Linked DNA regions of Oryza sativa Japonica Group. The protein of the gene in region 2 interacts with the protein of the main gene of each other region in a pairwise test. Links are inferred from orthologs where the notes say so. Each region holds a gene or a part of one and is shown on either strand. Other genes may lie near its edges. The genes, in order: plastid division protein CDP1, chloroplastic; protein ACCUMULATION AND REPLICATION OF CHLOROPLASTS 3, chloroplastic; cell division topological specificity factor homolog, chloroplastic.

Evidence for each region.
Region 1: the proteins of protein ACCUMULATION AND REPLICATION OF CHLOROPLASTS 3, chloroplastic (region 2) and plastid division protein CDP1, chloroplastic interact in binary tests that used the Arabidopsis thaliana proteins (3 or more experiments, as listed by UniProt). The link is inferred for Oryza sativa Japonica Group from reciprocal best matches to the Arabidopsis thaliana genes ARC3 and PARC6.
Region 3: the proteins of protein ACCUMULATION AND REPLICATION OF CHLOROPLASTS 3, chloroplastic (region 2) and cell division topological specificity factor homolog, chloroplastic interact in binary tests that used the Arabidopsis thaliana proteins (3 or more experiments, as listed by UniProt). The link is inferred for Oryza sativa Japonica Group from reciprocal best matches to the Arabidopsis thaliana genes ARC3 and MINE1.

What each region holds. Positions count from the first base shown.
Region 1 is NC_089038.1:35,030,678-35,034,430, reverse strand, and holds the start of plastid division protein CDP1, chloroplastic, read left to right. Parts: upstream 1-1,203; 5' UTR 1,204-1,409; coding exon 1,410-1,667; intron 1,668-1,924; coding exon 1,925-2,038; intron 2,039-2,153; coding exon 2,154-2,291; intron 2,292-2,778; coding exon 2,779-2,883; intron 2,884-2,960; coding exon 2,961-3,083; intron 3,084-3,163; coding exon 3,164-3,532; intron 3,533-3,611; coding exon 3,612-3,707; intron 3,708-3,753. Other genes in the region: thioredoxin X, chloroplastic, read right to left, coding at 576-911. UniProt on the Arabidopsis thaliana protein: Component of the plastid division machinery required for PDV1 localization to constriction sites. Involved in chloroplast division site placement. Required for the proper formation of FtsZ rings at the division site in nongreen plastids (e.g. etioplasts).
Region 2 is NC_089043.1:26,492,400-26,495,610, reverse strand, and holds the end of protein ACCUMULATION AND REPLICATION OF CHLOROPLASTS 3, chloroplastic, read left to right. Parts: intron 1-212; coding exon 213-317; intron 318-411; coding exon 412-549; intron 550-1,609; coding exon 1,610-1,776; intron 1,777-1,866; coding exon 1,867-1,924; 3' UTR 1,925-2,037; intron 2,038-2,154; 3' UTR 2,155-2,647; downstream 2,648-3,211. UniProt on the Arabidopsis thaliana protein: Together with MIND1 and MCD1, regulates FtsZ ring positioning in chloroplasts in an ARC6-dependent manner. Z-ring accessory protein involved in the initiation of plastid division and division site placement (might functionally replace bacterial MinC).
Region 3 is NC_089046.1:19,400,369-19,404,121, forward strand, and holds cell division topological specificity factor homolog, chloroplastic, read right to left. Parts: upstream 2,690-3,753; 5' UTR 2,626-2,689; coding exon 2,509-2,625; intron 1,150-2,508; coding exon 556-1,149; 3' UTR 308-555; downstream 1-307. UniProt on the Arabidopsis thaliana protein: Acts as a topological specificity factor during plastid division and specify plastid constriction sites (such as the Z-ring) in a MCD1-dependent manner. Especially involved in epidermal plastids division in a FTSZ1-dependent manner.

The DNA.
Region 1 (3,753 bases), on a different chromosome or scaffold from region 2:
GCAAGTCCTGGCAACTGCCAATTTTAGAATTTGCTGAAATCATCCCACCAATTCACCAAACCTGCCCTGAAATGGTGTAGCCTATATGCCATTTTTTGAACTGCTACCTCCATTCCAAAACATAGCAACCACTTATGACTATGAATTTAGACATGCACATGTCCAGATTCGTAGCCAAAAGATGTTATATTTTGGGATGTAGGTAGTATAAAGGAGGTATGCGTTTGCACTTAACTTGAAGAGTGTACATCACAACAGAAGTATACTTGTTATAGACTGATCTTTTTACTCTCTAATAGTAAGACTTAATAGACTGATCTGAAAGCTTTTTGTTGTTCTCAGATGAACACCTAAAACCCACAGACAGCGGTTGGTAGCTGGTAACATTGGCATCGTCACTGCTGTCTAGTCTTAGTCTATAGTCCATGTCTGATGTCTCCATGGAATTGATATCTCTAGTAATTATTTAGCACACCAAAAATTCAATCGTTTTGAGTCCATGGTGGTTTATTAATTCTCAATTCTAAGCTATTCAGACAAGATGTAACACCAGAATGATGAAGGAAGTAGCAGACCTCGGCGGCCCAGTCGACGACGGGCGCGATGAGGCGGCACGGCCCGCACCAGTCGGCGACGAAGTCGACGAGCACGGGCAGGTCCGACTGCAACACCTCCGCCTCGAACTCGCTCTGCCCGATGAACCTCACCGCCGCGCCACACCGCACGCGCGCGCTGGCGATGCGGCGGCCGCCGGGTGGGGCGGCGGCGGGCCCCACCACGCGGAAGCTACCCACCGAGGCCGGAGGCGGCGGGAGGCGCAGCAGCGCGCCGGGGAGGAGGCGCGCGCCGCGCGCCGAGGAGAACGGCGGCGGCGCGAGGCCGGACGCGGTGGTGCTCGGTGCGGACGCCATGAGAGGGAAGAGAAGGGAAGGGGGATGAGGAATCTTCTCGAAGGCGCCACTCCGGCCACCAGTTCCCCTCCCCCCTCCGCGAGATTTGTTCGCGACGAAGCGGATTTTTTCCCCTCCGTTTGTGAGGCCTGGAATTCAGCCCACTTCACCACACCAAGCAAGTTTTCGGCCTGGCCCATGTAGGCCCAGAAACGAAGCCCATTGGGTAAGGACACGCGTCGGCGTCTGGGAGGGTCCACCTGTCAACGTCTAGGCTCTAGCACAAAGCGCATGGACCAAGTCCATCGCCATCATCGACCTTCCTCTCTCTCTCTCTCCGGCCTCCGGCTTCGCCTTCACGACGCCTCTCCTCCTCCACCTCGCTGACGCTTTGTCCCTTTATTCGCGGGGGCCTACGACTCGCCCGCCTCCCAAAACCCTAAAGCATCCATCCGCTCGCACATGGTGGCGTTGGCGAGGGTGGGCTAGGGTTGGGGGGGTGAGGTCTTCAGGCCAGCCATGGCGATGCCGACGGTGGCCGCGGCGGCGGCGGTTGTCCCCGGGGTCGCATGTGGGTCCTCGACGCGGCGTGTTGGGGTGGGAAATGGCAATGCGTCCGCACACGCCGGGGGTGGATGCCTGGCTGGCGGACGGCGAGGGGCGGCCGCGTGGGTTGCGCGCGCGAGGGTGGCGGAGGCGCCGCCGGTGGCCGCGGAGGGGAGCAGGCAGGAGGCCCCCGCCGCGCCGATGGTGGAGATCCCCGTCACTTGCTATCAGGTTTTTTTTTTTTTTGGCCACTCGTACTGTTTATGGATCCGAATTTTGGAAATGTGGTCTTATATCGTCGATGGATCTAGTTTAGCTCGGCTGGTCTCTGTTCGAATGATACAGTTGCAGATTAGATAGTCGTTTCTTGACCATAATTCAACTTTAGTGTTTGCACCACGATGCCTATTGTAATTTGCACTGGTAGTTCACACGCGTGACACGCCTCCCTGATTTTTGGAGTGACATGTTTCAAATGGCCAATGCAGATTCTTGGTGTTACAGAGAAGGCTGAGAAAGATGAGATTGTCAAAGCAGCAATGGAGCTGAAAAATGCAGAAATTGAAGACGGGTACATGGCAGAGGTGTCTACCTGCAGACAGGTTGCTCGCTGAATCAAGGAATTCTGGAAATATATTTGGATATACTGCTTTGTTTAATGTAGGGAATGCAGAATTCATGTGGTTAATCTTTGCTTATTTCTTTCATGTTTGGTAGGCTCTGCTGGTAGATGTGAGAGACAAACTTCTCTTTGAACAGGAGTACGCAGGAAGCATAAAAGAAAAGCTTCCACCCAGATCCTCTCTTCATATACCTTGGAGTTGGTTGCCTGCTGCACTTTGTGTCTTGCAGGAGGTAATGTGTAACACAGACATCCTTATTATTGTGAACAAATAAAGGAAAACCACCAAGTTTGGTTTAGGTTTGTCACCTTTTATGTTACATGACATAGTCATAGTCGTCACCATGACCATGCCCGGTATGTTTCTTTATAGGTCTGCCTTATTCTTTGTCAGAATACTATTCTCAATTCACTGAATGATTTGAAAGGGATCAAGAAGATTTAGGATCAATAATGTTTAACTAATAAAGAAAACTTTTATGCTAACTTCAGGGTAAATTATCCTTAGGAATGTGGTGAGGAGCGCGTAGGTTTTAAACTTTGCCCTTTCTTAGGACTGGGTAGCGTAAAATGCAGGGGATGCAGGTTAGTCACCATTATGATGTTTGTGAGTTCTAAGTGATCATGAATACAAGACACCTAGCAGCTTGAATTTATTAAAATTGAATGTACCATTATCATAATGAAATGGTGTATTACATGCTACAATATTCATTTCAGGTTGGAGAAGAGAAGCTAGTTTTGGAAATTGGTCAGGCGGCTCTACGACGCCCAGATTCTAGGCCATATGTTCATGATGTGCTTCTTGCAATGGCACTAGCTGAAGTAAGAAGCACACAAAATTTTAAATAACTGACTACAAATTGGTATATTTTGCAATGATTTGATGCATTTTCTTGTAGTGTTCTATTGCAAAAGCTAGCTTTGAGAAAAGTAAAGTGTCTCTTGGCTTTGAAGCTCTAGCACGTGCTCAATACCTGTTGAGGAGAAAACCGTCTTTGGAGAAGTTGCCCCTTCTTGAACAGGTTAATTTTTGTTGTTATCGCTCTACAGATTCTTCTACATGTAGAATTATGCCCTTAACTTATTTCATTGGATGAACTAGATTGAAGAATCACTTGAAGAGCTTGCACCTGCTTGCACTCTGGAGCTTCTAAGCTTACCTCAGACACCTGAAAACGCTGAACGCAGGCAGGGTGCTATTGCAGCTCTCTGTGAACTGCTTAGACAGGGTCTTGACGTTGAATCCTCTTGTAGAGTTCATGATTGGCCTTGTTTCTTGGGCCAAGCAATGAATAAGTTGTTAGCCACTGAAATTGTGGATCTACTTTCTTGGGATACTTTGGCTACAACTCGTAAAAACAAAAAATCGTTGGAATCCCAGAGCCAGCGGGCAGTAGTTGACTTCAATTGTTTCCATGTAGCGATGCTTGCTCACTTTGCGTTAGGGTTTTCAACCCGGCAGGCTGACCTGGTACCTTCTCCTTCTCAATAGTAGTAAACTATCATTTTTGCTATTTATGCATTATTTAACGTACAGTTCCTTTATGCAGATCAGTAAAGCCAAAACCATTTGCGATTGTTTAGTTGCATCTGAAAACACAGACCTGAAATTTGAGGAATCATTTTGTTTGTATCTCCTTGGAGAGGTGATAAGCTGATTTGAACTGCAAAAATTTTACTAGTTTACATTAT
Region 2 (3,211 bases):
ACACATTAAACTTAATATTTATCTTTATTTTTGAACTTCTGTTTCTAATGGGTGAAATGACTTCCCTCTTTTTTCTCCCAGTCCAGAGTGCAGTTGGGTCTTTTTGTACTGTTAGATAACACACAAGAGAATTGGCATACACGAACTCTGGTTTCCTCTAAAATTATTAGCATTATCGTGTTGTTTTACAAAACCTATTGTTATCCATGTAGGATGCAGAAAGAGAGCTGGAGAAAACATGGAGCCCCATAGTTGAGATACAGTTTGGAGGAGGAATTTACAGAGGGAGGTGTCAAGAAGGTGTCCCTGAAGGAAAGGTGAATCCATGTAAACTAAGTGCTCTTCCATTTGGCTTGACAGGAAATTAAGTAACTAACCCTTCAATGGTATTTTTTTTCGTAAAATTTACAGGGTCGCATAACCTTCAGCGACGGTAGCTTTTACGATGGACTCTGGAGGTATGGCAAGAGATCAGGTCTAGGGACACTCTATTACAGTAATGGTGATGTATTCCATGGAACATGGAGGGATGACCTTTTTCATGGAAAGGTATGGTATACTTTGTATTTGAATATGACAATTATGAGATGTCCATGTTAGGTATGGCTTCTCCCATTTACAGCATTCTTTAAAACATGATGATTAGCTCAGCACCTTCTTTGTTGGGTAATGTTCTTGCCACTGATGTTTATTTTAACATACTATTCTTTAAATGACGGTAGTCAACCTTCCTTTCGAGATATGAAGATAAACTTGCTTTAATGTGGTAATTTGGATTTATTTGTTACCAAAGGATTTGTATTTTCCTTTTGATTTCCTTTGTGTAGCTAATCTTCCTGCATTTATTTCCTTTTGTTTTATAGATGATCACTTTGTATAACTAAAAAGTGCACAGTGTTGTACTGTTCAAACATTACTTCTTTCTGTTCTGTTGTGATTAGGACATTAGGTGTTATGATTCTTTATACTGTTAGGGTTCTCAATTCTGTATTGATGAATTTTGATCCTTTATTTGGTACACTGAATTGCTGCCAAGAGGATAAGTACTTCCTCCGTCCCAATATATAATAACCTTAGTAATGGATGGGACACATCCTAATACAACGAATCTGGACAACCCTGTCCAGATTCGTTGTATTAGGATGTGTCTCATCCGGTACAAGGTTGCTATATTTTGGGACGGAGGGAGTAGGTAACGCTCTTTCCTTTATTGTAAACTTAACCTCCATCACTCCCATGTAATTTATGGCTCTTTTCCTCCCTACCTTCCTGAGTTCTCCTTCCTTTGGTTCTCCTGCCTTTATTGGGCTATGATGATAGTATTACATGAACTAGCACAGTGATCCACTCATACTCATTTATACCCAGTCCATGCGCTTATGAACCATTGCATTCAGGTCCTGTTCATTGAGTAGTTTTTCGCATTGAAAAATCATATATTCTGATTGTAAAATCCCAGTAACTCTCCAGAACATTTCATACAGATGTTTTGATGGCAACCTTCGCATTAAATTCAGAACATGTATATTCATATTAGATTTAATAATATCACACTTTATAAATTGTTGTGTTCCATGTGAAGTTCTGAGTTTTCTCCCCTTTCATTTAGGGCTGGTATTATTTTCACAGTGGTGACCGCTGGTTTGCAAACTTTTGGAAGGGGAGGGCTAATGGTGAGGGTAGATTTTATGCCAAAGATGGGAGTGTCTTCTTTGGCAATTTTCAAAATGGATGGCGCCATGGGGAGGCCCTGTTGATAGATGCAAATGGATCGAGGTTGTCATCTACTCGTGTTTACGTGTTTTCCTGAACAATTACATCTGCATATTCTTTTTAAATTAACCTTACTATGAACCATGGCTACAGGTGGATTGAAGTTTGGGATGATGGTGTACTTATTGGTCAAACTAGGTTGGAAAAATAGGGCTCCAAACTATTTCCCATACTTTATTGGTAAAGTTGTACACTTGTACTACACATAAGTTGGAGTACTGCATTGTAGCAAGTGCCACGACCACAATACGTTCCGCAACTCCGGTATGTACCTCCGTTGCACTGAAGTACTTCATTGTTTGATGGATATACTCATGCATGCTTCAACTTTCACCGAGACACCCAACGATGATCCTTGTGTATTGTCACTTTCTTTTGCAGATTGTACATAGATGCCTGTTGGAAGCACTGTTGTAGAGTTGAAGCTAGTTTCTGAAAGCTGCGTTAGTCATTGATGAAATTTTTGACGCAAAGTCATTGGTGAATTGTGTATATAATCCCAAGAAGAATGGGATGAAGCTTTCTTCTTCATACCGTGGATGTGGAAATCAGGGAAAAGTCACACAACTGCATCAAGCATATGCTACATGAAGTAGGTTTGATTGATTTCATTTATGGCCGCTAGATATTCTTTGATTGGACTCAATGCATGGATGAACAAGCTCTCGTGGCTTTGCCCCCTCAATTCCAGCTGAGTATGTGATTTTCCACATATGGGGTCCCACAGCACCCTTCCCTTCTCTGTTTCCTGTCACCGTCAGTATCACCCACACATTCTGTTCTAGTGATGATTATGCATTTTAAGTTTGTTTACTTTCACATGATTCAATCAATAGATTCACACTAATTCGAAGTTTGAAGCAGAACTTGCTAATGGATCTAGTGCTTAGTGTTGCCGTTCATTCAATTTGAGCTGTTCGAATAATCGGTGATTGGGTTGTTAAATCCTTAACTGGCAAGCTTGACATGCAATCTGTTATTGCTCCAGATGGTGGTAAAAGTTGCAACCCATCAGATAGTATTTAACATTTTCACAGCCTATACTTAACCCAAGACCCAAGTACCCAGCTGAAGACTGAACCGCCCAATCTATCTACTAGAAAAGGTCACTTGCTCACTTAGGTATAAAGAAAGTAAACTTGCTCACTTGCTCACCTTCTTGGCCAGATGATACCGGCATCTACAATATTCCTCCTCTTGTTTCAACCATTCTGGCCGAAATGACAAGAGATACTTGCACAGAGCTAGGAGCCCAGTATTATACTTCCTGAAGTCGATTGATTTCAACTAGAATTTCATATTGTTAGTACAGGACAGAAGTCAGATATCAATGAGCTCATGTGTGATTGCCTCACCCATCATGTGGCCGTTTACCGTGGCTGCGATTCCCGTGTAAACAAATGACACGTGAGATGCCTGAATGGGGGGCAAAAATATA
Region 3 (3,753 bases), on a different chromosome or scaffold from region 2:
CCAAGGTTCTAGACTAATGGCAGACCTGCTTGAGCGGCCAGAATTCAGGATGGATCTACCACAAGTCCACAAACTAGAAATTTAGTTCAGCCGGTGTATCAATATTTGATCAACCGTGACAAATGCTAGTATCAGATATGTGTTCTGCAGTATGAAGATCGGATGATTATTAACTAAATCACATTACAAAACTGGGGCATGGCAGAACATGGTGTAGTCGTGATATGCATCAGGTGATGATTGATTTAATCACATTACAAAATTGGGACATGGCAGAACATAGTGTATCTGGCAAAACATCAGCACGAGCGCACAACGTTATTTTCTTATAAATAAACATTTCTTCGGAAAATCCAAGTTGGACTAACCCCACGGTACTGATATTTGCCACCTTCAGAACAAAAATTCAAAATAAAATTACATGAAACGCAGAGACAAACAAAAGCCTAGATATGTACATTAGACTAACCAAGATTGCGAAGAAAGCCTTCAACAAATTGAACATTCTAACCAAGGAGTTCTGGGATACTCGGAAGCAAAAGGGGAATACAACGGTCAGTAGTTCTTGTTGGGCACGAAGAAATCGAACGTAACGTCGACGCTGCCTGATGTTTCTCCAGTGTCCTTGAAGTCAACACCTACGATCTTCCCTCTGTACTGCTCTTCAGATTCCTGGTACTCAGGCTTGACACGGCGAACAGGAACGGTCACAGAATATACTGTGCCAAGGCCAGCATCAGTTGAGATATCCACCTGGACGTTGTCTCGTGATTCTATCTCCACGAATTCAGAGAGTGCCTCAACGATGTTCTCAACAATCTTCTTCTTTGCCTCGTCACTCACTTCACACCTGTCGGAGAACAGTATCATCTTAAGCCTCTGCTTTGCGATGTTTGCATTAGAGTTCTCCTTAATGCTTGGTGCTGGGAAGATTATCTTCCATGCTAATTTCAGACGATCAAGAAACCCCATGTTAACAATGTTGTGAAGAAAGCCTTCCACCTCTTGAGCAATAGGAGAGAAGTCATTCCTTGAAAGAGCAAAAGTCTGAATGGAGCTCTTTGAACAGCTTTGGTGCTCAATGCCTAGATGCTTAGGAGTAAGCATGATGTTGCAAGATCGTCCACGAGGAAATGAACTAAACTGTGCCTACAGAAGTAGAGGTAAAGTCGTTAGCTAATAATCCACTGAAATATGCTATTCCATAGAAAAAAAACAACTCTATGATGCAAAGAATATCCAATGTGAATGCAATCTAAAGCTGAGAATTATATGCAACTACACATTCAAGAATCAAGACAAACCAGAAATTTTCATTAGATTATGATTTTCAACCATTACGGAGAAGTTCAAACAAGGTTACTCCAAAGAGTTTACAATAGGAAAAGAAACATGGTACGCGTGTGTGAATGCACTATATGCTTTGCCAAAATTCAAGTTCGGCATCACTACCAGTACCAGTGTCAATCCAAGCAGGATCTGTTAGCACATTAAACAATTCAAGAAGAGTCTTTGCTACAATAGTCTCAGCAGCATATCTATGAAAATAATAGTGGAGTTAGCACATTTGGTCGCTTCATTCCAAAAGTCATCCAATATTAAATTGAGCAGAACCAGAACAGCACAAGAGCATGGTAGAATGATACACACTTTTGAGTTGTTATTAAGCATTTGAAACAGTTACCATTCAGAAACCAACCAAACAAAAACTTTATAATTTGCTCAGAACTCCTATAGGCAAGAATGGGACAAGCAACTAATGTGCTATCCTGACCTACTGTAATATGACTAATACTCATCTCAGGAGGTATAAAACAAAGGTTATTTAAGACTGAGATATAGAAAGATAGGCTGTATGCCAAATCCTAAATAAGAACATTGTCATTTCCAGTTCACACCCATATTTGACAACACAGTTAGGTTTTCACTCTCTTCAAACATCTAATATTAACTCATAACAGCAGATGTGCTTCGAAAACATTTGACTACACGAGACACCCAGGCCAGCATTTTGTGTCTACACCTAGCAATTACACTTGCTTGTACGCTAACACAAACTAGACCAGAGGTCGCAAATGTATAGCTGCGTCTTCCGCAGCTTTACATATCAAATTTCACAGCTTGACTAATATCTAAATCCCAACAGTTCCTCGTGAACCTCGCGACAGACCAGAATCAGAGCACACCAAAACCGCCGCTTTGGTAACGAATTCTAGTATTCTACAGCACTAGATCCAAGAGGATGTTGGAATCGAGAACGCTCAACATGAAAAATCTCCTCTCTCATTATTTTTTTCTCCTCCCCATTCCCCACCCCCACCCCCAAAACGAGGTGCAGCGGCACAATCTTTTGTTCCTTCAAAAAACAAAAAGAGGTACGAATCTATCATCTCATCTTCATCAGCGCGCAGGGATCCGAGATGGCATCCGGCCACGGGGAGACCCAACCTCCTCCATCTTATCTAGGGTTTTGGGGGGAGGGGAAAGAAGAAGAGATGGAGACCGGACCTTGGAGCTGGTGGCGGGGTTGCGCCGGCGCGGGGCGGGGAGGACGGAGGCGGACGGGGCGAGCACCGCGCCGGGCTCGCCGCCGAAGCCGGCGGAGATCGACGTCGCCATTGCCATGGCAGCTAGGGTTTGGTCTCCAGTGAGTCTCTGCTCCACTCTTGGTTGGACTTGGGATGGGAATGGAATTGGAAAGGTGGTGGCGTAGTGGTCACCTCAACTGGGGTACAACCGACAGTGGGGCCCACTGGTCAGTCTCACGTGTGGCCCTGGCTGGACGGAGAACAGTAGGTGGCTAGTACTCCCTCCGTCCCGGTTTAGCTGTCGCTGGGGTGTAGAGTTTGTCCCAGAAAGAGGATCGTTTAGGCGTAGGGCAGCTAGCAGGCTAGCCACTAGTATGAGTACTTCTATTAATTTTCTTCCCCATGCTGGTTGCAGACATATCAGAATGACAGGCGCAGTACTAGTTTTGTGTTAATTTTTAAGCATTGAAATGATTAATGTAGGGGCACGTTGGTCATTTTTCCAGCACCATATTTTGTCATCTCTTTCCTAGAACGACTAGTAAACTGGGACAGAGGGAGTACTTGGCGTACTTGCATATTTTTCCTATAGGAGAAAACACATTTTGTGCTAAGAATATACAAAACGATAAAAATATGGCGTTAGTTTTTTCTTTACAAATATGTTATTTTTGGTCCATCTGATCCAAATTAAGATTCATACCAGGTCCTAGTGAAACAAAATTAAAGCGTGCAAGCGCAAGGAATCGAGCTCAAGACCTTCTGGTTGGTAAACATCATGTGTTCGTCATGCAATCAAGCTGCCGTTTTTGAATTGAAACTAAATTTACATTCTACTTGTTGGAGATGAACCAAATCATTTCAATGTGCAAACTACAATTCACTAACCAGCAAACATATTTCACAAAATTAACCCTTCATCTTCGCATGAACTTTGAGAATTGTTTCAACTAGCAAATCAACAGCGTACCTACAACAAACACATGCACACAAGACACGGTGATTTACGTGAAAAAACCTTCTCAGTGTAAGGAATGAAAAACCACGGGACAAAATGGTTCACTCCAAGCTTCCACTATAATCAACAATAAGTACGATTCGAGTCTTCTCTAGAACATTTAGAGGCACATTACAACAGCAGTTATACCATCAAGTTACATACTTGTCAATCATCAACATCAACCATAACAACTAACAAGAGTTATAACAATAACAAGCAGAGAAA